4 linked regions of the Mytilus edulis genome follow. The protein of the gene in region 1 purifies or fractionates together with the protein of each later gene. This does not show direct contact. Links are inferred from orthologs where the notes say so. Each region holds a gene or a part of one and is shown on either strand. Other genes may lie near its edges. The genes, in order: KRR1 small subunit processome component homolog, ATP-dependent RNA helicase DDX24-like, uncharacterized protein and protein KRI1 homolog.

Region 1 (6,954 bases):
ATATAACGGAACATATCAGGGAACATCAGATGAAATAATAGATTTTTTTCGTCTAGCAAATAATTAAAACCCCTAATTAAAATCAAAAACGATCAAATGTCGTTCTTAGATGTTGATGTATTTAAAGGTCAAAGATTTACAACATATAACATTCTTGACCTTGAAATTCAAAGTAATTTTTAAGACACAAATTATTATCTGTTTCTGGACAGAAATAACTGTCACTCACAGCATGTATTCAGAGGATTTATTAAAGGTAAAGCAATGCGGCAAACTAGAAACACAATTGACCATAACAAATTAATAAAAAAATCTTAACTAATTTCAAAGTGAAATTATTAGATAGGGGTTATGATAACGTGGAGAAAGATGATAGTATCACTGATGCTTTATCAATTGACCGTACTGATTTATTACAACAAAAGAAATCAGAAGAAAACAATATATTCCGTAAGTTTTTATAACTAAATATTATAATCCATATATACATAAAATAAAGAAACGTGTAATGAAACACTGGCATTTATTACAGTTTGACGAAGATTGTGTACAAGTATTCAAAATAGCACCAATAGTTGCGTATAGCAAACATAAAAGTATTGGGGATATGCTTAGTATATCAAAGTTAAAGACTTTATTCAAATTGACAGTTGGATCCCTGATGATGGTAGATCTGTCATAACTTGTCTGTACAGAGTACTATCTTTTTACCCAGAAGTAAAAAACAAGATAGTACATTGTTCAAACTTTCTGTACAGAGTACCATCTTTTTACCGGAAGTAAAACACAAGATTGTACATTGTACAAACTTTCTGTACAGAGTACTATCATTTTACCAGGAAGTAAAACAACAGGATAGTACATTGTACAAACTTTCTGTACAGAGTACTATCTTTTAATCAGGAAGTAAAACAACAAGAAAGTATTATGTACAAACTGTCTATACAGTACTATACAAAGTTTAAATAGTATTTTTGTCGGCTCACTTCGGCCATCGTACTATATTAGCTTCGATTCATGTATGATTTGTTGTGATATTGGTCAATAAATCCAAATTTGAAATTTACGCTAAAAAAGGGGGCCATTTTAAGACCTTACCGAACATACTCCTTTATTATGAAGGGCAATAACTCCTAAAGGGTATCAATCAATCATTTTGGTCATGTAGATCTTATTTTGTTGAACAATTTTGCTGTAAACAGTTTATCTCTTTCTATTATAATTCAAAATAATAAGCAAAAACTGTAAAATTGCCATAAAATTACCATTTCTGAGGCAGCAACTCATCAATAGATTTGCGACAGAAAATTTCAGCATTTTCAGGGCAAATGGGTCTTGACCAGATGAACATTTTCATTCTGTCAGATTTGCTTGAAATGCTTTAGTTTCAGAGATATAAGCCAATCAAATTGCTTGAAAGCACTGAACTGTAAAGATTGCTTCCATTTATTAGTGGGAAGTAAAATTAAATATTGCATTGGTTGTAGTTGATTTAACAGCTATTCTAGACAAAGGAAGATAACTCCAATTTTTAAAGATGAGGTAAACAATGACTTAATTTATATTTTTTTAGAACAGATATTACATTCCTGCACCTTGCAAAAGTTATGTAATTTTCTTAACAAGTGTAACATCATTTTGTGCCTTGAATATCTGAGCATATATTACATTGATAAATTTTTGAAAATGTTCATGAAAAGGATGTATAGAATGTTATGATCAATGCACTATACTTTGTGTTTCAAAAAAGGTGGTGATAAGCCTTGGAACATATTAGCCCAACTTGGCCCAGTAGTTCATGGAGTTTCAGATGAGGACGTATTATGTTAGTTATACGTCCTTGTTTCAGAGGAAAAGATTTTAGTAAAAAATTTGATTTAGTTATCAATGATATTGACATATTTCATTGTTTACCTCATTTATAAAATTACGTAAAGGTGTGAAAAGTTGACTTTAAAGGGCAATGATTCTTTATAGCGACAATTGACCATTTTGGTCATGTTAACCTATTTGTAGACCTATTTTTGCTGAACAATTTTGCTGTTTACAGTTTATCTTTATCTATTATAGTATTCAAGGTAATAAACAATTAATTTTTATGGCGAACGAAGCTGGATACAACCGTAGAGGGTTAACCCTGAACAGTTGGGTCAATGACATAAAACATAAAACTCTGAGACTACTATAGTAATACTTGTTAAATGGTTATGGTAGTCTCATCAGTTATACTGCATAAATAGACTGAAGAGATCATTTGGTTCACAAATATCAATAAAGATGAATACATTAAATTCCAGTATCCTATTACATGTAACTTGTGGATATGTTAACATTTTTTAAAAACTAATCCGTTAAGGAAACACAGCTAGCTGTGTGTGCTCCAACACTGGAGGGATTTACATAAAGAAGAAGAAGAAGTATGCAAATCAAGGGGGAAATAATTAATTGGTTGTGGCGAATTATACAAATATTTGGCAATTTTTTTCATCAAACATAACAAGATAATCATGATAAAATATTCTGTTCAAATAATAAACATTATGCAACTAGACAACAATAAGAAACAATATAAATCAGGGAAAATGAACATCAGTTTTGAATGCTGCAAATGCTGCAAGATCAATATATTTGTCATATACATTATATGTAACCACATTATCATAACTTTAAACGAGGGTACATAACAAGATAACTAAATCTGGTGCACAAAATTTTGAGTCCATGCCATGGCCATGCATGTATTATTTTTTTATATATTATTTATAAACAAATGTCCAGATTTCAACTGTTGCAGTGTTGGGAAATAACATATTGGGACCCGCAGTTGGTACAGAAAGATGGATAAATAGTTATGACTTGTGCAAACCTTGTCTTTCCATGGTTTGTTTAAAATATCAAAGGAATTGTTTTCTTTTTTCTCCTCACGTTGTTTCTACTTTCAATTTAGTACAAGGATTATTTCCCCTGGATTGATCTTAATCATTGTTGCGTTTGTTAACGGAGAAAAGCTACTTTTTAAATGAAGAAATTGTATTGCTTGATCATGTGATTACTCATTTTTTTCCAGTTTGCAGTTGTGTATTATCCAGATTATACTGGTTATTTCCACACATATCGTGGCTACAGCATTACATTATTGAATGAAATATTTTTTGTGAAATGAAGGTCATTCTTTATCATGTTTATAAAAATTTGTTTGGTAAGTATGTATTATGATTAGAAAAAAATGGGTATCAGCTGTTTCCAATCACTCTTCGACTTCTTCTAATATATGAATAAACTCCTGGGAAGGAGTTTTAAAATCCCGTTCTCGGCCCTATGATATTTATCAGTATTTGAAATAAAAGATCCCATGGCTACATATAAGGCACAAAATGTGCACCATAATTCAGTTACCTTGTTTTGTAACCCCCATTGACATAATGGTTACATTGGTTACATTGGTTACACTCATACAAACTATCATAAATCATCATATTCAGAAATTCTCAAATCCTGGTACATTTGTAACCTCCACTGACCTAGTGGTTACATTGGTTACACTGGTTACACACATGCAAGAATCCCTTTTAGCCATCTTGTTACCATGGCAACCCCATTATTAATGGCTGTGAGGTTACATTAGTTATTTAGGTTACAATGATTTAGGGTTACAATGGTTACATGCATGGAGAATCAGGTTACAATGGTTACATGTATAGGGAATCAGGTTACAATGGTTACATACATGGAGAATTTGGTTTCAATGGTTACATGCATGGAGAAATAGGTTACAATGGTTACATGTATGGGAAAATCAGGTTACAATGGTTACATGCATGGAGAATCAGGTTACAATGGTTACATACATGGGGAATCGGGTTACAATGGTTACATACATGGAGAATTTGGTTACAATGGTTACATGCATGGAGAAATAGGTTACAATGGTTACATGCATGGAGAAATAGGTTACAATGGTTACATGTATGGGAAAATCAGGTTACAATGGTTACATGCATGGAGAATCAGGTTACAATGGTTACATAAATGGGGAATCGGGTTACAATGGTTACATACATGGAGAATTTGGTTACAATGGTTACATACATGGAGAAATAGGTTACAATGGTTACATGTATGGGAAAATCAGGTTGCAATGGTTACATGCATGGAGAATCAGGTTACAATGGTTACATACATGGGAAAGTCGGGTTACATTGGTTACATGCATGGAGAATCAGGTTACAATGGTTACATACATGGGGAATCGGGTTACAATGGTTACATACATGGAGAATTTGGTTACAATGGTTACATGCATGGAGAAATAGGTTACAATGGTTACATGTATGGGAAAATCAGGTTGCAATGGTTACATGCATGGAGAATCAGGTTACAATGGTTACATACATGGGAAAGTCGGGTTACAATGGTTACATGCATGGAGAATCAGGTTACAATGTTTACATACATGCCTGGGGAATCAGGTTACAATTGTTACATTCATTGGGAAGTCAGGTTACAATGTAGGTTGGTATAAAACTATGTCCACCATGATGGCCCTATGTGTCCATCATTATACTCCCTGTTGCTAATTAATACACAAGGTATTAATCAAAAACTAGTCAAGGATAAAGGGAAATCATGACTGCATTGAAGTGTTAAAATTACATAACCTACAGGTAAAGTGTCTCAGGTAAAATATGTGTTTGTCAAATTTAATTACTGTGATTATGAACAGAAAAATAAAAAAATAAAATGAAATAATACAACTAGATGAACCAGAGACATATAAAACACATATAGCCTTATAACATTTTTTTTTAAATGTCTTGTGACTTTGTTTTGATGTTAAATTTTTTTTTTAACTTCTATCAATTTATGTTATTTTTTAAAAGTACTTTTTGACAACTGAAGATTAAATGAATGTCATCGTCATATATAATGCAAACTTTCACAATACCTGTCTTTTTCTATTGAAAAGGTGTTTCTAAAATCAATTTTCTAAATTCAAAATTGTTTATACTAAGAGAGACGGATCTGCATTTAACATTGTTCAACAAATGTTTTAAGATAATATCTTTAGGACTTATTTTAAATATAATTTAGGCAATTCATTATTTCTCTATTGAATAAATATATTCAACATATATTTATTACAGCAAAATTTGATAATATTTTGTATTGTCATATATCTGAGACTACTAGACAAGTATCTTTAAATAGTCTAAATCATTCAAGTCCCTGCAGTTATTACAATGTATTAACTTTATCTAAAATGTCTGGTTTTAAGTGAAATATTCTTGTCAAATGTATACAAGATTATATGAATGTAGGACAGAGAGTCACAGCTCAAAATTTCACGGACAAAAAGTCACAATTCAGTTTTGAGATTATTTTTCTTTGAATAAGAAAACACTTCAAAAAAAAATTTGTATTGCCTTGAAGTTTAATATATGAAGCAACTTTGTAATTAAAATGTATTTAATAAATGTCATTAATAATTATCAAATAATTGTTTATATGAAAAAAAAATGCCAAAGTGACTTGGTACTTAAATTGGTTCATTTTGCCAATAAATATATCCTTTGCATGTTTAAAATTTAATACATTTTCATTATCAATGTGTATATATATGTATCATGCCAGTCCAGCAGTTTCAACAATATAATACACAGAGAGAAAAAAAATGATTTTATCAATCTAATTAAAATATTTTACTTAGATTGTGATTTTATTAATAGACCATAAAAATGTCACAATCTATAGACATGGTAGAAGTGTATTTATTTTTTCTGAAGACAAATTTTGGTTATTAACTGACAGATATTAGCCAAACTGACGATAATATACTGGATTTTCAATTGTTTTAAAAAGCAACAAAATTTTTCATTAACTAGTTTCTTTTCATAATGCAATTAAGATTCACTTTATTCTGAGAGCTAAGAAAATTTTTCAATATGATAAAAAAAAATAATGAGCGATAACAAAAATTAATGAGCATTTATACAAATTTGATATTCAACTGCAATATCTATTAACTGTTTAAACTGTTTATTCAAAAAGCACTCGGACGCAGATTTCCTGGCACGGATTTCCTGCATAACAGGAGCTACAAAGAATGTAGGACAGAAAGTCACAGGACAAAAAGTAATAGACAAAAAGTCACGGACAATAAGTGACAGGACAAAAAGTCACAATTATTTTTTTCTGGCTATTTTCTTTGAATAAAAAACGCTTATTTCTACAAAAATATTTTGGTATTTTTTTTTGACTGTTGTATATAAACCAACTTTGTAAACAAAATTTATCCAAAAAATATCAAAGATGATTAAATAATTGTTAAAAAAACAAAATGTGAAAGTGGCTTGACACTTTAATGGCTTCATTGTGCCAATAAATATATCCTTTGCATGATTTTTATTAAATAAATAATCATTTTTCAAGTATAATGACACATTTCCTAAACTAATATGAATATATGAATTAAAAAGTGAATACATCACTTACATATTCAAACAATTGGCAACAAATTATTTGTGACCTTTTGTCATGTGACCTCTTCGTTCTATCTTTGTGACTTTATGTCCTGTGACATTTTGTTCTGTGACTTTCTGTCCATTTACTGAGACAAATACACATAAATTTACAAATAACATAGATAGCGAAATGAGTAGAATACATAAAATGAAACAGTAAAAATATTTTTTTAACAAAACAAAATATATACTAAATCTTTTGACCAGATCGCAAAAAGTCTGTGCAATCTGTAAAGTTTAAATAACCATGTGATCAATATATTTAGATATGTGCATTAGGTTGGTTCTAGAACACCCAGACAAAGTCCTAGAAATATTCCTTATTATTCCCAAAACTCAAACTAAATACTTATATACAATCTTTGTTAATAGCTAGAAGTATCTTATTCATCAAATTTGTCTGAAATTTACTGAAATAATTTAACACAATTAA
Region 2 (7,118 bases), on another chromosome or scaffold:
AGCGCTCAGATTCATCTACAATGACTACAATAAATCATATGAACAACTACTTGAACAATCTAAATTACCAATTCTTAAAATCAGTCGCATGAGAAGCATGGCATTAGAAACTTACAAAATTTTAACAAAATCCAGTCCTGAGTTTTTACACAATATATTAAATTTTAAAGATAACTCATATAATTTTAGATATAAACTCACAGTTGATTTACCACAACCAAGAACTACAAGGTATGGCAAAAGGAGTTTTAGCTTTGTCGGCAGCAAAGTTGTGGAACTCCCTGCCTAACCATGCATGGAGCCCCTCAACTTTGGTAAAGTTCAAACATTTTATTTCTTCATGGTGCTCTTCAGAAAACTGCTTCTGTAGCTCATGTAGATATTAACTTTGCTGTTCTCAGAGCTGGATCTTCTGGCCCTGTGTTCTGTTTATTGTTTGCTTTTATTTTATTTATTTGCTTAGCTTACAATGTATGTCATTGTGCCAGTTAAAGCAAAATTTGCTTTTCCTTTCTTTTAGCTTGCTTGCTTTGATTTATGCATGTTTGCTTTGCTATTATATTATGCATGTGTTTTATTTGTATGTGTAGTCTGTGCTGATAATTTGTTATTTGTTTTAAGTATCAAGTCGGTTAAGAGCTCTACAGAGCTCATGTTTACCTTGTTAAATTGTACATATCATGCCGGACTATAAATAAAATTTACTTACTTACTTACTTTTCTATATATAATTCTCACCCATTTGAATATCATTCTATTCTAATAGAATCCATGACAAATCGCCCCACTGGCAAATCGCCCCACTCTTTCACAAACTCGCCCCACTTTCTAAAAAAAACGCCCCACTCTTGTTTACCAACTCGCCCCATTATGAAAAGGGTAAACTCCCATTGCAAATAGGTATGATAACATGCCCCCCTTATGAAAAGGGTTAAAATCCCGCTGAAATACGGTCAGCTGTCAACTGGCCCCACTCATGACAAATAGATAAACCACTTATAAAAAAGATGCAATCCCGTTGTATATCTTTGTCCCTGCCCACGTCAATACCTTTGAAAACCTAAGTGAAGTGCTATAACATCAAATTGCTGTTAAAAACTCTGTTTTTGCAATAAAGTTATATATAAATGTTAATCACGCATCAATTAATTGTGTGATTATGATACAATTAACAGGTTTCTTTTCAATTGTTATACAAATAACTAAGCTTACAAGTATAAAGTTATTCTCCAATAATGATACAAAAATGTCTTTGCAATTATATTTTAAGAATGTTAAAAAAGTTTAATAAACTGATTTCAATTTTTTTTTTTTTGTATTCTGTGTAGATCACAAAAATCAAAATAAGTTTTCATTTAAGTGCGGCTAGTTGGTAGACCTGAAAATTACATATAATAGAAGTAGATTTTTCCTTTTTTCAATAAGTGGGGCGAGTTGACAGGGGAAAAATTAACTGGATTTAACCCTTTTCAAAAGTGAGGCGATTAATCATTTTTTTAAAAAGTGGGGCGAGTTGGTTAACCAGGTTGGGGCGATTTTTTTATTTTTTTTAATAGTGGGGCAGGTTGGTGAAAAAGTGGGGCGATTTGGTGTGGGGCGGTTTTGCCAGTGGGGCGATTTGTCCTGCTTCCTTCTAATATATTAATAATAGTGCAGTGCAAGTGCATGACAGACGCTCTTCTGTGAAAAATGGATTTTATTAATAGATTGGATTTGAGTAGGCATTCAATTTTCCTGCTAAACCAATCTCCCATGCAGAGTTATCGCTCCTTGCTCTGAGAGAGTGAGTAAGGACCGATAAATCTGCATGGGAGATTGCCGCAAAACATTCATGAGATCTTCTTTCGCATGTGTTAACACAGTTATAAGCAAAAAGGTATGTTAATTTGCACTCGATAATGTCCACATATTTATCTGTTTATAGATCGCTTATCAGTCAAACGCAAAAGTTACATATTAAAGTGAAAATCTCGTCAGCAACAAATATACCTTATCGCTAATCCCGGCTGACCATGCCGCTTGAACTTTTGACGCATACAACAATCACTTTTCCATTGTGGCGTCAGATATTTTGTTTTATGACGTCAAAATTTTACGTGAACCTGTGTGATATCCAGTAGTGGTGCCGATTTAACCAAGTGTCGATTTGACTACTGGGTGCCGATTTAAGGATGTTCGCTACTCTGTTGAAAAATAACAAGCTTTTTAAAAAACTGTTATACATTGAAAGTATATATATAAAGAAACTAAAAAAGCAGAAAAAAATGGAGGGTCCGTGTGTTTGTTTTCGAGATATAAGCCATTGAAAATTTGGCGGGAAATAATTCTCTCTAGATTTTTCTTTCACTTAACATTGTCACCTTTTTTGTTTTAAAAACTATGGAAAAATAACAAGGATTTCATAAGATTTTGAAATATGGCTTTTTAAATAATATGTAATAAAAATATGAAAAGAAAAGTAGGGGTTATTGGGCAATTTTTTTTAATGTTGATACATGGATAAAACCAGAGGATTTCGAAAATCTAGCAAAAATTCAAAATGTAGAGGAGCGAACATCCTTAACCAGGTGCCGATTTGACTACTGCCGTGAGAACTGGGTGCCTAAAATTGCCCATGCCATTGATTTATGGACCACACTTTATTACCTTTTTTGATTTTCCAGGGTTTCCAGAGGTATAATCTTTGATAAGTTCGTAATCCGTAAGTTCTTCTATTGAAATTAAAGAATCGAAATCATTTTGAGATAAAAGATTATAGTCAATTTTCACTGGTTTCCACTTTCCTTTGGTTTTCACGTGCATGGAAGTCGCCATTTTTTACTCTCTAAATGTAAACAAATCTCATAAAGTCATCAAGACAAATAAAATATGAAAACTATCTGTTTTAAAATAGAATTATTTTTATCATCTTTTTTTATTTATCTATCTATTCCATACAGCTTATTCATTCCTATTTTGTATTGTTTTGAGATTAAAAGTATAGTCTGGGTTCCCATTATTCAAGGTCTGGACGTATAGTAGAGATTGAATTTAAACAGGAACCCAGGTTAAAAATATTACAACTGGTTACAATAACACAAACATTCTTATAAAGCTTTAGTTGACAGTTGTAGGTTCCAGATTATTTATTGTTGACGTTTTTTGTCTTCTTTCGTTTTACACCATAGGAAACAAAATCAGTGACATTCCAATAAAATGTAACACTGGTGTAGGAAAAAGAAGATATTTTACACCTAAGCATCCCAATACACATAGAAAATAGCAGAGAAGGTGATGACAATTTGACAATGAAACTTCCCAAAGTTGTCTTTGACTTTATCCAGTCCAAATATTAAATTATTTTGAGGTCTTGAAATAGATATAGGGAGATGTGGTATGAGTGCCAATGAGACAACTCTCCATCCAAATGACAATTATAAAAGTAAACCATTATAGGTCAAGATACGGCCTTCAACATGGAGCCTTAGCTCACACCAAACAGCAAGCTATAAGACTGATAAAGGGCCCAAAAAATTACCAGTGTAAAACCTTTCGACAAAAAAAACCAATGGTCTAATGTATATAAAATTGAAAAACGAGAAACACGTATGAACTATACATTAACATACGACAACTACTGTACATCAGATTCCTGACTTAAACAGGTGCAAACATTTTAATGGTACCAAACCTCCTCCCTTTTCTAAAACAATAGTATAACATCACAACATAAAAAAACACTATAAAATATCAATTGGAAGGCTTAACTCAATAAAGAAAACACAAATTAAGGCGACTATGCTTTTTTGCTTTGACGCCTTACAATATGTCATAATTATTTTGATTAACTCAGGCCTAGCTTCACAGGCACTTGTTTCTATCCATGGGAAGACCCACTATCAACGTAAATATATAGAAACAAGTGCCTGTGCCAAGCTTCATTAATTGAATTAAGTTTAAATGTTTAAATAGTTCTTCAAATGAGAAACTTAATTTTGTTGAATGTAACAGTTATAGACGACTCTCACATTTCAACCTTTTCCTGTCATATTGCTTTTATCAATTCGTCAAAGTGAGAGTCTATACACAACCTTTTAATTAAATTAGTGGACTTTTCACAAAAAACATGCATTGATGTTACAAAAAAAAAATCTTTTAGTTGTGATGTCCGACGACTAAGTTTTTCCCCAAATGAACCAGAACCCAAATCAACAGGAACAGCCTTGTTCATCCTTAAAACTGAAATTGGAAAGTTATCAATTGCTAAACGACATCATCTATGCTGGCTGACCCTGAGTCAACCAGTGTTACTCATTCATGAAAAGAAAACAAGGATTTGGTCAATACCCAAATCAAAGTTTCAAGTTACCTGAAATTATTGACCACAGGAGTTGTTGATTTTATCAATGTTCATAAAATATAGAAAAATATTTGCTTATTAATTGTGCCATGACCCTTTTTGAACAGTCAGTCATCATAAAATTGGAGTACTTTTCAACCAGAACGACTTACTTTTTCAATAGTTTCTTCTCTTCATTAGTTTCAGCAAGGAATTGTATATTTAAAAGGAATGGAAACGCGGCTCGAGATCAATCGGGATACCAACAGCGCACCCGCAGAGTTATAAACCATGTCTGGCTCAGGCGGAAGTATGATGAATAATATAAAAAATCATGACGGAGTTCCATTTCCTGTCATATAAATCGGTCTTTTAATTCACGGGGTCATCTTGCTTGAGACGATATAAATGAGAGAGAAACCCGAAATCAAGAATAAACTTTTATTCCTAGCAAAAAGTAAGGCCTTGGGTATCATTTTAATGCCTCATCAAACATACGTTTGTAATATTGTATTGAGTAAATTCTCATTAGAATAGACCTCGGTCTTGAAAATTGAGGGAGTTTCATCCGGATTACTAAACAAAAAATACTGTGTTTTGATTTTTTTCTAAAAACTTGAAAACTGCGAAGTGCAAAACAAAACAGTTGATATCATTATGAAGCTGAAACCTTATTCTATCGCTTAGGCTCTTTTTGAAGTTTCTTGTAACTTTTAAGAATTTTCTACGATTTTTCGAAATTTCAGTTTTGAGTTTCAATATTCTGTCAAAATATGTCTATCAATCTGGGAGTGCACTACGATTTCTTTATTATATTGGAAAGTAGAAAGAAAAAAGTGAGAAAATGAGATATCATTTTAAAGAAGGAATATTTTTCTACAGTTTGATCTAAATTACGAATGCTAAATGTAATTGGTACAATATATATGATTTTATTTCGAAACATGTTGAAAATTTGAAGTTGTGCGTCAACAAATACATCGACACTTTGTATTTTGGTATAAGTTAAATAACTACTTGAAATAGATGTGACATTGACATATAATTTAAAAGCTTAGTCTTTTTTCTATCGCATAGTGTTCATTTTATGAAAATGGTGATAAAAACGAATTAGCTATGATTTTTCAAAATCCCATGTTTATATTTCACATTGACGCCATTTTGTTTGAAATAACAGACAAGATATATATAAAAGACACACGATTGGGATTTATTGTGCCTTAATATACCATGTACGATGTTATGCATTTCAAGTTTTTTTGTCAAATGCTGCTTTAGATACTAAATCGTTGTTTAGAATGCAGTTTGCCATTATAAAGCGTTGCCGCAAATTACCATACGAAACAGCAAAACTGTTCCTTCCTTTTTCTCCCAGAGCAGTAGTCTATAGGCCGCAAAAGTATTCCTTTGGTGTTAAAATAAATAAAATGCGAATGTGGGAAAGTTTGAACTGTTTCTAATTAGAAAATTTATTGCATCTCTGCATAATTTAGCATTAATTAACAGGTGAGCTCGACATTATTAATTTTTAACATCTTAAAAGTATGTAAGACCAGAGACAAATTAGCTTATCATTGATACATGATATATTATACCTGCAAATTGGAACATCCTGCATGCCGTTGTTTATTATAACACCTGTAATCTAAGTTCTTTTATCTAGATAATATACTGCAGTTGTTAAAATTTTCCTTCCTTCATAATAATTTATTAACTTCTTTCTTTAACAGTCATTTAGTTACATTTTTAAAATGTTCTTTATTTTGCATGAAAACTTTTTAACACTCGTAAAATGTCCGATATCATCTGATTATGACATACCTTCATGAAATAATACAATAAAAAAAAATTGAATAATAATTTTGTTAGTTCATCACATTTCATTCTGGTGTTATCTTTCTTGGTATAGTTAACACTAATTAATGAGAATCAGCATAAAAGTAGTGTCAAAATGATATAAAGAAAGATACTTTCAAGGATAACACTAAATTTTCAACAAGCAAGATTCAGAATTCTTTATGATAATGGGGCATGGAAAGTGAACTCTGTATTAAGTTGTTAGACTTTTTGTTCCAAATTAGTACTGAGTCCTAGTCAATTTTTCAAATAGCAAAAAGTTAAGATAAAAAGGAAGGAATTGGAATTAAAACTCTATATCAATCATGAATGCGACTGTAGTTATATTTTTTATCTTCAGATAGAAGAGATGCAGTCAAGTGACACTGATTATCATTTTGATAATAACAACACAATTGACATGGATTTTTGTGCTAATATGGAAATACAAACAAAGAAGAGAAAATTTGAAATGACAACAGAAAATGTGACATCAGCTATCATGTCAGGTTTGTAAAATCATCAATTTGAACACACTTATAAAGAAAGATCTCAGTAAGAGTCGACAAAAGATGAAAAGTTAGTTTTACATGCTTACTTCAAATCAATTAATCTACAACTGAAGACAAAATAGAATACAAATCATAAAATTGAGAATGGAAATGGGGAATGTGTCCATGAGAAAACAACCTGACCAAAAATGGGGAATGTGTCAAAGAGAAAACAACCTGACCAAAGAGTTATCAGCAGCCTAAGACCACCAATAGGTACAATAGTCTCGGATGTGGAGAAAAAGTTGAGAATTTGATAACTTTATAATACAAAAAATCATTATATTCAACATGTTCCCTGAGTCTTGCATTGCTATTTAGTGAAATAGATGAAATTGTTAATTTTTCTTCTTATTTCACTATAAGTTAGTATAGATTATAGTTTATAATTGTTTTTGCAATAAATGATATGA
Region 3 (7,251 bases), on another chromosome or scaffold:
TGAACTTTTTCGCATTGTGACTTGGATGAAGCATTGCCTCATTGGAACTCATACTACATCTTTTTTTATGTATGTCTAACAACACTATTTGACCAGATACAGCCTTTTTTACTAATGTGTAAATAGCTTTGTTTTTACCATCACATTTTTTATCTGTACAGCAATGTTTGCTTTGTTTTTGTGAATATTTTAGTTTGACCAAAAGTGGCAGAATAATCAGAAATGATGGCGGCCATCAAACATCCAAATAGCAGAGGGATATTTCAACAAGATTGTCTTATTTCCTGTTAAAATTTATTTGACAAAAAGTAAAACTGAGAATTTCTTTAAGTAACTGGTACTGGACCAGTAAGACTTTTTTGAAAGCTGCAAGATTATGCCAAATTTATCATTTATGGATAGGATACATTGAGTACAAGTCAAATTATCATGGTGGTCAATTTGGCATTGGTCAAAATAAGCACCTATTTAAAGTCATTTCTGCATATTTAGTTCATTTGGCACCATATTTTTTTTTAATCTTTTTCTTTCCTTTTCATTTGAGGTATGAGGAGAATAGTTTTTTGGATCTTTTTTCAATATTTTTAAGGACACTATGTACATGTACATTTGCAGAGGTTAGTTGTAAATATACATTTACTATATCATAAAAAGAAAAGACACAGACATGTAAAATGTACCTCTGTAATTAAGCAGTTATAAGAATACACAATAAAACATAATCAGTTGTTTGCTAATGCTTAATCCACATATGTCATGTTACAGACAAATTAAATCATTGTAATCTAAATTAGTTTTTTTCCTGCATTTCCCATATACTTATTTTTATATATATTGAATAATGCTGACACCAATTTTGTATGCTACAAGCTATAAAAAATAAGATGAGTGAATGAGTTATATAAACTTGTTCAGTTTTATCTGTTGTTTTAACTTCATTTTTTGGACACAGAAAACATGGTCATTGGTCTTGTTGTATATTGTTTGTTCCCCCATATAAAGTAGAATTTTAAATAGCGTAATGGGGAAATTAACAGCATTATTCACAAATCATCGTCTCATTATGATCATGGTTTACCATTAACAACAATAGACATTTTTTCTTCAGCTTTTCCTAGTTGTATTTGGCATTTTTGCGGGATGAATTTTCAGCCTCATAATTACCCCTTTCATCTAACTTTTTAGTTTTGCAACAACAAATTTCCTGGGATGTCTTTACTAAAATATTTTGTAGCATCAATAGGCTATTTGCCCATTCCTGTAATTGACCCTGTAATAGAAGATCCCTCTTTCAGTTGTCTCCCTTATGAGGGACATTAGTTTTCATTTATAATGGAGAGCTAGCAGAACGTGCAAATTTACCTGTGCGTAATGTAAGTAATAGTAAAGGCTTTCAAATCTTTTAATTACATTAATTTGTTATTAATCTAAATACTTTTGACATCAGAAATTATTTTTTATGAAAAAATAGTTAAACGGCTGATACATCACTTTCAATTCATCATAATTTGCATTGGCAATTCAAGAGCCTATTTTGTCTGGTATGATGAAACCAGTCTACGATTGACAAAGGGAAGTAATTTGTTTAAAAAGTGTGTAATAACAGAATCAAATCGGTAATTGGCAAATGGACTATTAATACACCCACGCACCCACACTGGCCACAGCAATTTTCATAAGAAATTTAAAAAAAAATAGCATTTGTATATACAATGTAATAATGCTATCATGTGGTCGTCGTTCGATGACACATTTGGTTTCAGAACAATAACTTTAGTTTAAGTAAATGTATCTCTCTGAAAATAGTTCCATATGATATCAGTTTATCACAGAGGGTGGTAATGGGGGTACCTTCATGACCAATAACGGTAAAAATTATTGCCAAATGCATTATTGGTAATTTTTGGTGCTAGTCCGAGATTACTCTGACATCTAACGGCTGTTTTGCCAGACAAGCTGGGGCTCTCAGACATTTAGATTACTTGCATAGTAAATGAACGAGGTGTTAGATTATGGTCATTTGCATAAATCATCACTTTTTTTCTCATGGTCACGTGATAATCTTTGAAAGTCAAAATGCAGAAATCGATGGGTCACTGCGAAAACTGTTTAAATATGGAAAAATAAAGGGTGGCATGTAGGTGAAGCTTACGTAAATGAAGAGATAAATGAAAAATGAACAAATTGATACCCGATTAAAATACATGTAATTCCAAGGCCCTTTTTTGGCAACAGAAGCGACGAAGCAGCGCATTTATTTTGGACGGGCAAATATCCACTTTTTGACATGGGACGAGCTCTAGATGATGTCCCATGGCCCCAGCTTGTCTGGCAAAACAGCCATTACTTCAGAGTAATCTCGGACTATTGTGGTGCATGACGATAAAATATGCACTTTCTTTTAGACTATAAAAAAATAGAATGATTTTGATGAATCATGTTAATTTTTTTCCAAAAATAACAGTAAGTTGAGTAACAATAATTTTGTGAGACCTCTGAAGAATCACGATAAGGATATTTTGACAAATCACGATAAGGATATTTTGACGAATCACGGTAAATTTAAAATCAATTTGACGCTAAACGGTAGCCAAAAATGGCCGTTTAAGCATGCCGGTAAAGGGCATTACTACCCTCACAGTCACCGGGTATCCAGACTGTTCGCCCTAATTACATATTCGCCTTAGGTCCGTTCGCTCTGAGTTCGTTCGCCCATAGAGTCCATTTGCCCTACTATATATAAAAATAATAATATTCAAGGCATTCAATGAAGTTGAATAAACTTATTCAGATATTTCTATGGTATATATATCATGTATATTCTTGAAATTTATGGAAACATTGAAATATTTATGGCTTGTTTAGGATCATTAATTGTTCAATGAAAAAATAATTCGGATCACTGGTTATTGTGATACTTGTCTTTTGATGTGCATTTGTATTAATAATAAAAACAAACGTTTTGTTTTAATAAAATATTCAGCTTGAAATTAATAAAAACAATGATGTACGAACTGTAAATTATGAAACGGATTTACAAGTTCATTTATTTATACTCTAAGACTAGTCATACTGCATACATTCGTAATTGACTGAATACAATTATTTTGTTAACAAATATCAATAAAGATAAATACATTGTGTTCCAGTATTCTACTCTGCAAATCAAAGGGAAAATGATAAATTGATTGCAGCAATATAAATATTCTGTCAATTTTTCAACAAACTTTAACATATTTTGTCATGTTCGTACAAAAACTTAAAATAATGCGACTAGACATGCTAGACAACAATTAGAAAAAAATAAAGATCAGGGCGAATGGACCCTGGGCGAACAGGTACTAGGGCGAACATGAATCAGGGCGAACGGACCCGGATTCCAGTCCACAGAATAAGCTTTTGGATCGATCTGGCCCCACGTCGATCCGTACCACGTCGATCCGGCCACAATAAAAAGTATTTTTATAAGGATTAAAAATTAAGATATATATTAATTGTAATTCATAAATGTGTATACATGATTTTTATTATAATGTAAAAGGTGTACAGTAAAAAAAAAGAAAGGCCTTTGAAAATATTTTATAATACACTGGCCTATATATAGGTTGATTATGTTTTTATTACAAGTTTTTAGGATTATTGGGTATAATTATATTAAAACGTATATAGAAGAATTCAGACTTCAACATTAATCAGCAGTAATTAGCATTTTCTTTCAATTGACTGTGATCCTAACAAGTCTTTCATCTTGTGTCTTGGTGCCGGAACGACCGGATACCACAGTCAGACGGAAGGCTGAGATGATCGAGTATGGGAGTTAACGTTTTTGTCCCAAACGTTCAAGAATTAGGTCAAACAAGATATATCAGTAGAGAAAACTGCTATTTATTTGTTTGTTTAATCTCTCGATGTCTGGGTCAGTTAACAAACGATTTAAACATGTATGGCGTCATTAGATACGCACCTGATTCGTCGGCCATATTTTGGGGTTGTCGTTCGTAAATAACAGGTGATAAATTATGTTACAAATTTCCGATGAAAGGCTTCGAATTCAAAGTATTCACTTCAAAAAATAAATCATCAGATTTGTTTGTTTGTTACTTTATTGGAATTGGTTAATTATATTGTTATAAAAAGAGTATGAAATTTATATTGCTGCAACATTTTTTAATCTCAACTCATTCAATCCATATTTTAAATGGTCGAAAAAGAAATACTTAATTTGATTTTTTAAAAGATCACGGGAGTGTTTTGATAAACTAAAATATGCGCCTTATATTGAAGTTCAAGGTTAACATTGACCAAAGAGAAACTTAGCACGTGTGGAAATTGTCTTTGGCAAATTTACAGAATTGGTCGATTATTTGACCACTAAGAAAAATTACAAATATGGAAGATAATTCAGAAAAAGGTAACCGACCAAATTGCGCTACAAACGATGTCCTTTTTTTGTAGAAAATAGTCCCTAAGAAGCTGTATAGTTGATAAATAAAATCAAATCAAATTTGTTAAAAGTTGGTAAAAAATTCAAGAAATAATTCCTGGCTGTCGTAGATTTGTTCTCATTTAACCGTGTGTTGGGTATTTATATTCGATTATATTATCCGGAACCACAGCGAATGGTTAAATGGGAATTTTAATGCTCAACCCATTTACATTGTTAAATGAAAACACATCTACAGCTGTCATGAATTATTTTCAATGCAGGACGCGATGGCCATACTGTCATAATGGCCATAGGATGTACATGATGTAGTGGCCATAGGACAAGATCATCCATACTTTCAGTTTGTAAAGACACATCGTCCATGGTTGTTTATAAGATATTTTGATATATACATGTAGATGGTTATAACTTAATATGAGGCAGGCATAACCTGTAAATGGGGACGAAGTCTGTATGAATTGTTTTTTTTTGTAACTTAAATATTTGTTAAAAAAAAGAAACGGAAATACCGGAACGTTTCCGATTTTGGTTCTGTTGTTAGTGATTTTAGTTGTGACGTTATTTAAATTATGACGTCATATGCAATGTAAACAAAGAAACGCTATCATCAGGTAACGTTTTTTCATATCAAGGAATTATTTAAAATGAAATTGGTATTGCGCGTTCCTTCCTATTTTATACTAGACTGATAAATATTTATTTTACTCAAAGTTTCATACAAACGAGACCGGAAAAAGGAAGTACATTGTACATTTCTGCGCAGGTCCAGGATTTCAAAACACGACAAAAAAAATTTGAACGATTTTGAGTTCATTAGTATACAATGAAAAATTCAGGAAATTTTCCCAAATTTATCGAATTTTCTACTGTTATTGGGGACTTCGTCCCCATATAAATGTATAATTTGTGCTGTTTTTAGATATAAGATGTGGTATGATTGCCAATGAGACAACTCTTGATCCAAGTCATAATTTGTAATGACTAGTGTAAAACCAACACTCAACAGTATATTCTCTACGAAAACCACTGAACATCAGGTTCCTGACTTTGGACAGGTGTTAACAAATGCAGCAAGTTTAAATGTTTTGATATAAAAAGATGTGGCATGATTGCCAATGAGAGCTCTCCATTCAAGTCATGATCATAATTTGTAAAAGTATTTGTCATGTTTTTATTTACCCATAAACATGATAAATATATAAATGTGTTTTATCTAATAAAAAAGTATTTTATTTGTCTAAATGAATGTTTAATGCGTAAAACAAACTACATGGATAAAAAAGAAGACAAATGAGAATGAAAATCTAAAATGGAAAATTAATTCAATAAGTTTAGTTTGAAATATAAAACATAGAAATCTGATATTGATTAATTTTAAACAAAGGAGTAGGTCCGGTAAGGGCCGATTTCGGCCTCAATTTTCAAGTTCATCTAACGAAAGATTTTAGACACTTTCTAAACACTTAAGTGTCTATTTCAATTGATTGAATTAGTTAATGGGGAAGATTTTTACTTAATAATTAAGTCATTTAAAACGCCCCGATTCAAGCTTAAAGATGAAAAATCTATCAAATATGCCAAAAATCGTCACTTTTCAGATGTTTTTTGTCAAAAATGAAAGTGGCCGCATCCGTGTTCATCCTCAACCTTTATATATATTATGTATTATCATCAAATACAACTTACTTTTCAATATTATGAATGAACACGAATGCGGCCACTTTCATTTCAGACGGAAACCGTCTAAAATATAACTAAAATGCTACAATTGTGAAGATTTCAGTAATTTAGCATGACTTAATGATGCTAGTACCCGATATATGTGCATTGTTTTGTCAAAAACAGCCCATATTTATGTAGCAGAAGCATTCTACTTTGCAATAAATATCTAAACGATTACATTTTCACAATTTTCTAAAACGGCTATATTTTGAGGCCAAAAAGGGGTCTTACTGAACCTACTCCTTTAAGATTGTTTATTGCTCATTATTACTTCTTCTGTGATTTTTTTTTTACTTAATTTGAATAATGTTTGTGTTAAATCTAAATAATTATATTCAACAATGGGTCTTTACAAATACTAATGATGTGTTCTTCTTATATTTATTCGTCTAAAGTTGTTCTAGCATTTTGCTTTAATATTGTTATAACTTCTGTTACAAGGTTTTAGTTTTTTCCTGAAGTATCGGTAACATGGTAAGATCATGACTCAAACAGTAAAATATTACAATGTATAATACAGGTGTTGCATTTATAATTGTTTTTCTTTTGTAGGTTTAAAAAAATTAAAGAAACTAAAAAAATCAGGGAAGAAACAAAAGTTAATGAAGGTGCAACAAAATAGATTAGGTCAAGCAGCAGAAAAATCAGGTTCACTATTATTGCATTGTCTCTCTGACTTTTATTATTTAATTCAGACTAATATTTTAACCACAAAATGTATGAAATAATTTTGATTTAAAAAGATTTTAAATTAAGCAGCATTATCATTTGACCTTAAAAGTTTAAAAGGAATGTTGTGTCGTTTGCAGTACATGTATGTAGTCTTTGAATCTAGAAGGAATGTCCTGGTATTTATGATATGAGGCAGGCATTACCTGTGAAAGGGGACATAATCTGTAGGATTTTTTTTTTTTAAATTCAAACATGTTCTGTTGTTGGGGATTTTAGTTGTGGCGTTATTTGAGTTATGACATCATATTCAATGAAAACTAAGAAAGCTAGGCTGTCATCAGGTTATGGTTTTTTTCATATCAAACAGTTATTAAAAATGAATTGGTATTGAGTTCCTTCCTATATTTTGC
Region 4 (7,433 bases), on another chromosome or scaffold:
TACAAAAGGAACTTCCTCTGCTTAATTGAGCCCCCAAAGAAATGTGAAGAGTTAAGTTTTTATTCAAAATTATCGAAAGCAAAGTTTTATATGTGTTCTCGTACGGATACTGACCCCCCTCAATACTGAATAACAGACGGACGGCCACACGAAAAAAAAACGGTTCACTTTCGAGCAAAAATCAGAAAAATGACAGACATACCACGTATCAAGATAACACTGTTAAAACTGTAGTGTAAACTTGTGTTGTTTATAATATAAATTCAATTTCTTCATGTACATATACTTAAAAAAAAATTGGTGTAGAAAATTCAGGGGAGGCAACTGCCTCCCCTGCCTCATAGGTAGTTACGGCCCTGGTGATTATGAACAAAGTAATGAACAAATTTACCAAATATGATATATAGCAACAAAACAACAACCTCTGACGTAGTCTGAATTACAGGCTCCTCACTTTGGACAGGCCTGTATAGAACGTTGCGGGGTAAAACATGTAAGCCCAACCCTCCTCTAACTTGGGACAGCAATGTAACAGTACAACATATGAATAAACTAAAAACTAAAAATCAGTTGATTAACTCATCAGAACAGGCTGAATCAGGGTTTTTGTCTATGAAACTCTCACCCTGTTGCTCTCAAGTTCAGCATCAAATTTAAATTTAATCATGATATGAACAATAAGGTTAATTTTACATTGTCCTACATTTTAATGAGTAATTATCACCTTATAAGTCCTATCTATTAGTAAATTGATTATACATGTAGTGACATAATTTATTAATCGTTAAACAATCATCAGGTGTCTGACATTAATGTTATTAACTTTCGATGGGAAATTGATTATACAAAGGGCCATTTATATATATGTAGTGCAATGCTCTAACAAAACAAGTTTTTTTTAAACTAGGTATTAAGTTGCACTTATCATGCTTATATTTAGGTCTTTAAACAAGACCACTGGTCATGCTAGTACAAATGTATAGGAATAGTTATATTTGCTGATGCAAAAAAAGTAGCAGGCATGAAGAGAAGGCAGTTATAATATTAGAATGTGGAGTAAATTATAGAATGTGAAAATTATCATAATATCATGGATTTGTTTAGACAGTATAGTATACATTTACAAGAAGTATATATAGCTTTTCTCATATATACACAAAAGAATATGTATTTCATGTGTACCAGGTAGTTAATACATACTTCAGCATTTTCATCCTCAGACTCTGACGAACTTGATTCTGAATCCAGATCACTGACATCTCCGTATTTATCTTTCACTACAAATATAAACTTCTTATAAAGGTACCAACAAGGCACAGGCACTTGTTTCTATCCCTAAAATTCTAGGGGAAGATCCAAACGGATATTTACGTTGATAGTGGAGGGTAGTAATTGGAGTACCTCAAATATTCTTGCAATATGACGTTAATGTTATTTTTGGTGATTGACGATAAAATGTTCACTTTCTTTTACATGATGAAAAAATCAACATCACATTATAAAAATTTCAAAAAATGATGCTAAAGATAATAAATTTGAGACCGCTGACAGGGCCGTAACTAGGGTTCGACTTCAGGGGAGGCAGGAGTTTGGGGGCCGCCGATTGATGCCCCCAAGAGAGGGGGGTTGGGGTCGCAGCCCCCCGCCGATTTTTTTCTCGCAGAAAAATGGCTAAAAATGACCCGTTTTCTTTCGATTTACTTACTTTAACATGTTTAAGAAACATCAGTATTGCTGGATCCTGGAAGCAATTTTTATGCAAACAATTAGTATCTGTATTTAAAGATATTTTTGTTAGAAATCAAACTGGTCAATTAAAAAAACATATTAAGCAAGATCATATTAAGCAAGACATTTTTTTTGTCAAGGACCTTGAATTTCAATATTGTTGAAAGCTGAACAGACATGTATATAACTACAACCAGGGACTTTCTAAACTAGAATATTACTTAGTTTTAGAAAGTCTCTGCTTCAACAAATTGAAGTGTTTAACTACTAAGGCATTGACCATAATGTTCTCGTTAGATCGGCTGGGAGACGTTAAAAAATGACCCAACAGATGATTCAGCCGGTAACGAATTTCTGATATCACAAACGATTCACAATACAAAGGGAATTTCCTCTGCTTACTGGAGCCCCTAAATAAATGTGAATAGTTAAGTTTATTCAAAATTGTCGAAAGCAAAGTTTCATATGTGTTCTCGTACGAATACTGAATAACAGACGGACGGCCACACAAAGAAAAAAATATACTGAAACGGTTCCCTTTCGATCAAAAATCCGGAAAATGACAGATATATCACGTATCATGATAACAGTGTTAAAACTGTAAACTTGTATTGTTTATAATATAAATTCAAGTTCTTCGTGTACATATTGTCAATATTTCATTTTATTACTTCAAAAAAATAAATTTGGTGTAGAAAATTCAGGGGAGGCATCCCCTGCCTCATAGGTAGTTACGGCCCTGGCTGACAAATCCAGATAAGGCTATTATGACAATTCCCAGTAAAGTTTTAACTAATTTGACACAGGCATTTGTTTCTATCCATTGAAAGACCCACTATCAACGTATCTTTAAAGCACAGAGAAGAAAATACGCTGAGAAAAACTGAACATTGGGACAATTCGTGCCAACAGGCCTTAAATAAAAGTTTGAGGATTGATGATAATGGCAGCCAAAAATGATCGTTTGACGCCAGATGGTAAAGGGCATAACTATCCTCATAGTGGATCTTCCCAAAGTTAAAAACAAGTGCGTATGCAACAAGGGCACTTCTTGATTTAGTGTCACACTTAGATTGGTGTAAAATATTTTTACAATTCTAGACGATAGGTTCATGCAAAAAATATATGATTATATAGACGAGATTGAATTCATCATGCTTACGTTTCTGGAGTTCTTCTTTCTTTCGCCATACGTTGTAATTTTCTGCATATGCTTTGTTGATTTTTAGCTCCTCGGACATGCTTGTGGGTCAGGTAAAGTATAGGGAAGAGAAACATGTTATATTGGTGTATTCTAATAATGTTATCCGTATGTACGTTCTTTGCGTATGGAGCACCATGGGGATTTTGATTACGGTATGTGATTACATCGCCAATTTTATAGTCATTATATTACTAGACCAAATATTTCATGATTAATTGAAAATCTGATAAACTAGGACTGTTTTTTTAATTTTTTTGTCATCTGATAATCTAGGACTGAATTTTTGGACTTTTTGATTACTTTCTAACTATACAAATCCTTGATTAATTGATTTTCTTGGTAGATAGTATTAGCAAGTAAGTAAGCATTAAAGTAAGTATTACAGTACGTGAAGTGTAAGATGAGTAGGTAAATAAATTAGTACGATCATTTACTTTTGGAGATTTAAAAAAGGGGGTATTATTTCAAATCCTTTGTTTTTCGGAAATACCATTTTTAGCATAGCTAAACATATCAGAAATGTCCTCTGAAATTTTCTTTTTTTTTATTAGAAGAATATGATGTGGTTTATCCTAGAAGTGCCAATAAGTCCACTCTCCATCCAAGTAACAATATGTAACTGTTAAGAATAAGTATTAACAGTAATAAAGCCGGTTTAAGGTAGATAGGGTGTCTTCCTCCATCTTGGATTAGGAAATACCAGACAACAAGGTCTAGATCTTTAATAGAATGTGCAAATTTTTAGAGTAGTAGGTAATTCATGTGTAAGACCTTTGACCTCAATATATAAAATGACATGTTTTATCATATTTATGGTTGTATTTTACAAAAAACAGAAAACTTTTGTTTGATTAATTTTTTTTCCAACTTTGCCACATAAGGGGAGGCAACTCAAATGCAAGGGCAGATAATTCAGATTACGGTAATTTTACAATAGAATGTGTTAGGAATTTTCCTATTTTATAATGTAGCAAGAAAACAGGTCCGGTGACCCCATTTTGTCTTTTTCTTAACTGAAAGCATACTATAAAAGCTATCTTCTCATATGGTATCTCAAATTCTATGGTGTAGTTTACGCTTTATTGCAGAAAATTGTGTTTTCCATGCATAATCTATACAAAATCTGTCAATTTTGAACACCGTGTAGCGTGAAAATAAGTCCCGTGACCCATTATTTTTATTATTATTTTTTAAAGAGCATGATATAAGCTACATTTTGGCAAATTATTAAAAAAATCTATGGATTATAATTTAGACACCCCATCTACCTTAAGGGTGTATTCAGGTGAAAATTTCAAAATCTAGAATATCTTAAAATTGATTGTTTAAATCAGAAGAGATAGGAACAAAATAAGCTACCAATATTGATAGGTTTTACTGTGCGTTTTTGTTGTATTTCTTTATTCTACATAGCCTAGAGGTATAGAGGGATGGTTGAGATCTCATAAAACATGTATAACCTCGTCGCATTTTTGCGCCTGTCACAAGACAGGAGCTTCTGGCCTTTGTTAATCTTGAAGTTGTATTTTTTATTTAATTTTAGTTCATTCATATGTTGTGGAGTTTAGTGTTACGTCCATTTTCATGAACAATACACAATTTTATTTAGAGCCCGTCTGATGACCACCTCTGGGTGCTGGATATATTCCCCATTTCCATTCTCAATTTTATGGAACTCCTTTTCGATATTAAATGGTGAGAAAAGGCCAACTTTACCTCAGTTATATACTGTACAGCTCATGCAGCTGAGCATTGGCTTTATTTTGGTCTCAAATCGTAAGAAAAGAAATCTGGATTTAAAAAAAAAATTATATATAGTTTTTGTCTTTTGTCATTTAGGGAATTTGGCATGGATGGCAGTTAAAAAAAAAATCACAGTCAATTTTATCAACTGTTCCAAAATCACGTCTACTCTATTCAGAGTATTGTATAGCTACAGGCTTGGGATTTTGGACTCTTGTTAAAGATCGTATATTGATCTCTACATGTCTTTTGACTATTTGTTTCGTTGGCTTGAAATCTTATTTGCGTGTATCAAAGACTCCTACAAAAGAAGTACATGTTTAAAGAATGGTCCCTCCCTTTTCCAATGCTACTCGAACGAGATTATGAAAGTTTACGGTGTATAAGTAAAAACAAACCATGTAAACCATTGAATCGAACAGTGACAGACTGATATAATTGCAGCCTACAAAATTTACATGCATACACATGCAGCTGAAGGTGAAGGTAAACCAGATTGCACAGTCATCTAATCTCTGTATTATATATAACCCGTGTATCAGCTTACGTTAGATATCTGTCTCTCAGAGATCTGTCTAATTATTATACTCCCTTTATGTTGTGCTGCCGATGATAGTGTAACGATGCAAGTCAGGTAAGATCATTTCTCTTTTCTATTTTGTGTAAATTTCAAAACAAAAACAAAAACAACTGAACTGTGACAAAAAGTTACTCAAAGTATTATTAACCATAGATTTATATATATATTCAATTCAACTCAGGTCTTTGATCTTACTCGAGCAATAAACAGATTCGCTTTATTTTCCAAATTTTATCTAATATGTTTACTAGTATTCGTTTATTCATATTGCACGCTCGTGTGCATGCATGTGTACTGTTGGCAATCACACACTGGTAGACATACATATAGAAAGTGTATGTCAATAAACTGTCAATAGATATGAACCAAAACTAGCAACTGATGTAACATACATCGCCAAGAAATCATAACTAATTATGCATAAATTACAAGTTGGAATCGTGCCTGAAAGACGTAGTAATAATTGGCTTCTTGTCTGTTAGTGTCTCTTAGTCATCATATGTAAACAATCATAAATCATCATTCTTATAGGAAACAAAGACAAAACAAGAAGGTAAGAAAGTGTTGTCAATTTTTACTTTAAGACTTTTTTATGAAGTCTTTATATGGTATCACGACATTTGGAATTGTGTTAGGTTAACAATTTAGAAATCCGTTTATAACATTTCATACGGCTGCATATTGACATTATGTAAACAATGCAATCGCATTTAATTTACAGTTACACAAACACATTTGTTTTGTTCGCACCACAATTGCATAGGAAATCTGGTATAACCATATAACCATATCACTTGTCTTCGGCGAACACATTATTTACTGAAATAAAACGGATTGTTATGATAAGGTGTATATTTTCGTATATACATAATATTTGGAAAAGGTAGCGTATTAATGATTGACGAAAGGTAATCTCGAGAAACGTCAAAGGAAACGGCATGTTTTCACAAATTTCAGGAGACAATATAATTATATGATATTTGGAACGAAAAATAGAGCTTAAGCTATTATATCAAGCTATTTCAAACATTACATAACGTTCATAAATAATTTTGTTTCATGTATGCAAACTGTTTGCATATTGTATATTAGATCCATATGTCAAAATAATCCGATTATTATCACATATGGCTAGGGTCAGACAGTGATGAAGAGATAAAATAATTGGACAAATGAAATATCTGAAGCATTACCGACTGTGGTTTTACATTAGATATGAATACTAAGATAATACATGTATACCTTAATAGTTTAAGATGCTTATGACATCGATTATATAACCATGGGAATATTATATTTCATTTTACTTCCATGATACAATCAGAGACTTGTATGTATACCAAGCACATGTATAACCTTATTTAAAAAAAAATATCACCCATCCATGTGTAACTTCGCGCGTGTTACGTACTACAAATGAAATAAAATCGACAATTGAAACGGGGAATGTGTCAAACGGTCCAAAACAGCATAAGGCCACCAATGCTTAGGTCTGCAACATAGTGAAAAAAATCCCTCACATGGAGACAGGCCTCACTGAGCCGGTCCCTTAGCAATAATGTATACTAGTTCAGCAAAAATGGACGTCACACTAAACTCCGAAAATAATAAATGAACCAAAAATTAAAAAGACATACAACGATAATAAGGTCAGAAAAGGGACAGGCAAAAATATATACGACGGGGTTAAACATGTTTTGTGACATCTCAACCCTCCCCTATACCTCTAGCCAAAGAAGATTTTAAACAATCGCATAGCAATACGCACAGTAGATTCCAGTTTAAAAGAAGTCCGATATTATAATAGATAACACTGAGAACAAACTAAGTAAAATGTAAATGATCAACATAAATTAAATTAACAAAGAACCACTAGCAGTAACTAACATGCCAACTCCAGACCTCAATTAAACTTATTTAAAGATCATGTCTTCATCATATGAAAATCAAGCACAATCCCCTCCCATTAGTGGTTTAGTATCATACCACCATAAAATATACGAGAAGAACATAGCCTGTATCATATGCCAACAACTGTTTTAGAATTAATGTGGATATTGCCGATGCAAAGACCCTATGAGTGAATATCAATATTAATTCAGCCTTTTTTCATATATTTGATCACAAGAGATTAAAAAAGTCAAACATATGAAAGGTCAATGGAAAGGGGGAATATGT

What was found.
Region 2: the proteins of KRR1 small subunit processome component homolog (region 1) and ATP-dependent RNA helicase DDX24-like purify together in Homo sapiens (affinity purification with mass spectrometry; 3 studies listed by BioGRID and IntAct, with this or other methods). This does not show direct contact. The link is inferred for Mytilus edulis from reciprocal best matches to the Homo sapiens genes KRR1 and DDX24.
Region 3: the proteins of KRR1 small subunit processome component homolog (region 1) and uncharacterized protein purify together in Homo sapiens (affinity purification with mass spectrometry; 3 studies listed by BioGRID and IntAct, with this or other methods). This does not show direct contact. The link is inferred for Mytilus edulis from reciprocal best matches to the Homo sapiens genes KRR1 and DDX18.
Region 4: the proteins of KRR1 small subunit processome component homolog (region 1) and protein KRI1 homolog purify together in Homo sapiens (affinity purification with mass spectrometry; 3 studies listed by BioGRID and IntAct, with this or other methods). This does not show direct contact. The link is inferred for Mytilus edulis from reciprocal best matches to the Homo sapiens genes KRR1 and KRI1.

The regions. Positions count from the first base shown.
Region 1 is NC_092350.1:37,840,049-37,847,002, reverse strand, and holds the start of KRR1 small subunit processome component homolog, read right to left. Parts: upstream 3,019-6,954; 5' UTR 2,880-3,018; coding exon 2,867-2,879; intron 1-2,866. UniProt on the Homo sapiens protein: Part of the small subunit (SSU) processome, first precursor of the small eukaryotic ribosomal subunit.
Region 2 is NC_092344.1:113,043,301-113,050,418, reverse strand, and holds the start of ATP-dependent RNA helicase DDX24-like, read right to left. Parts: upstream 3,010-7,118; 5' UTR 2,815-3,009; coding exon 2,647-2,814; intron 1-2,646. Other genes in the region: uncharacterized protein, read left to right, coding at 6,525-6,663. UniProt on the Homo sapiens protein: ATP-dependent RNA helicase that plays a role in various aspects of RNA metabolism including pre-mRNA splicing and is thereby involved in different biological processes such as cell cycle regulation or innate immunity.
Region 3 is NC_092353.1:66,593,758-66,601,008, forward strand, and holds the start of uncharacterized protein, read left to right. Parts: upstream 1-4,226; 5' UTR 4,227-4,389; coding exon 4,390-4,411; intron 4,412-6,721; coding exon 6,722-6,817; intron 6,818-7,251. Other genes in the region: uncharacterized protein, read right to left, coding at 3,965-3,980. UniProt on the Homo sapiens protein: ATP-dependent RNA helicase that plays a role in the regulation of R-loop homeostasis in both endogenous R-loop-prone regions and at sites of DNA damage.
Region 4 is NC_092344.1:5,473,125-5,480,557, forward strand, and holds the start of protein KRI1 homolog, read right to left. Parts: upstream 3,024-7,433; 5' UTR 2,970-3,023; coding exon 2,891-2,969; intron 1,278-2,890; coding exon 1,201-1,277; intron 1-1,200. Other genes in the region: uncharacterized protein, read left to right, coding at 5,299-5,309.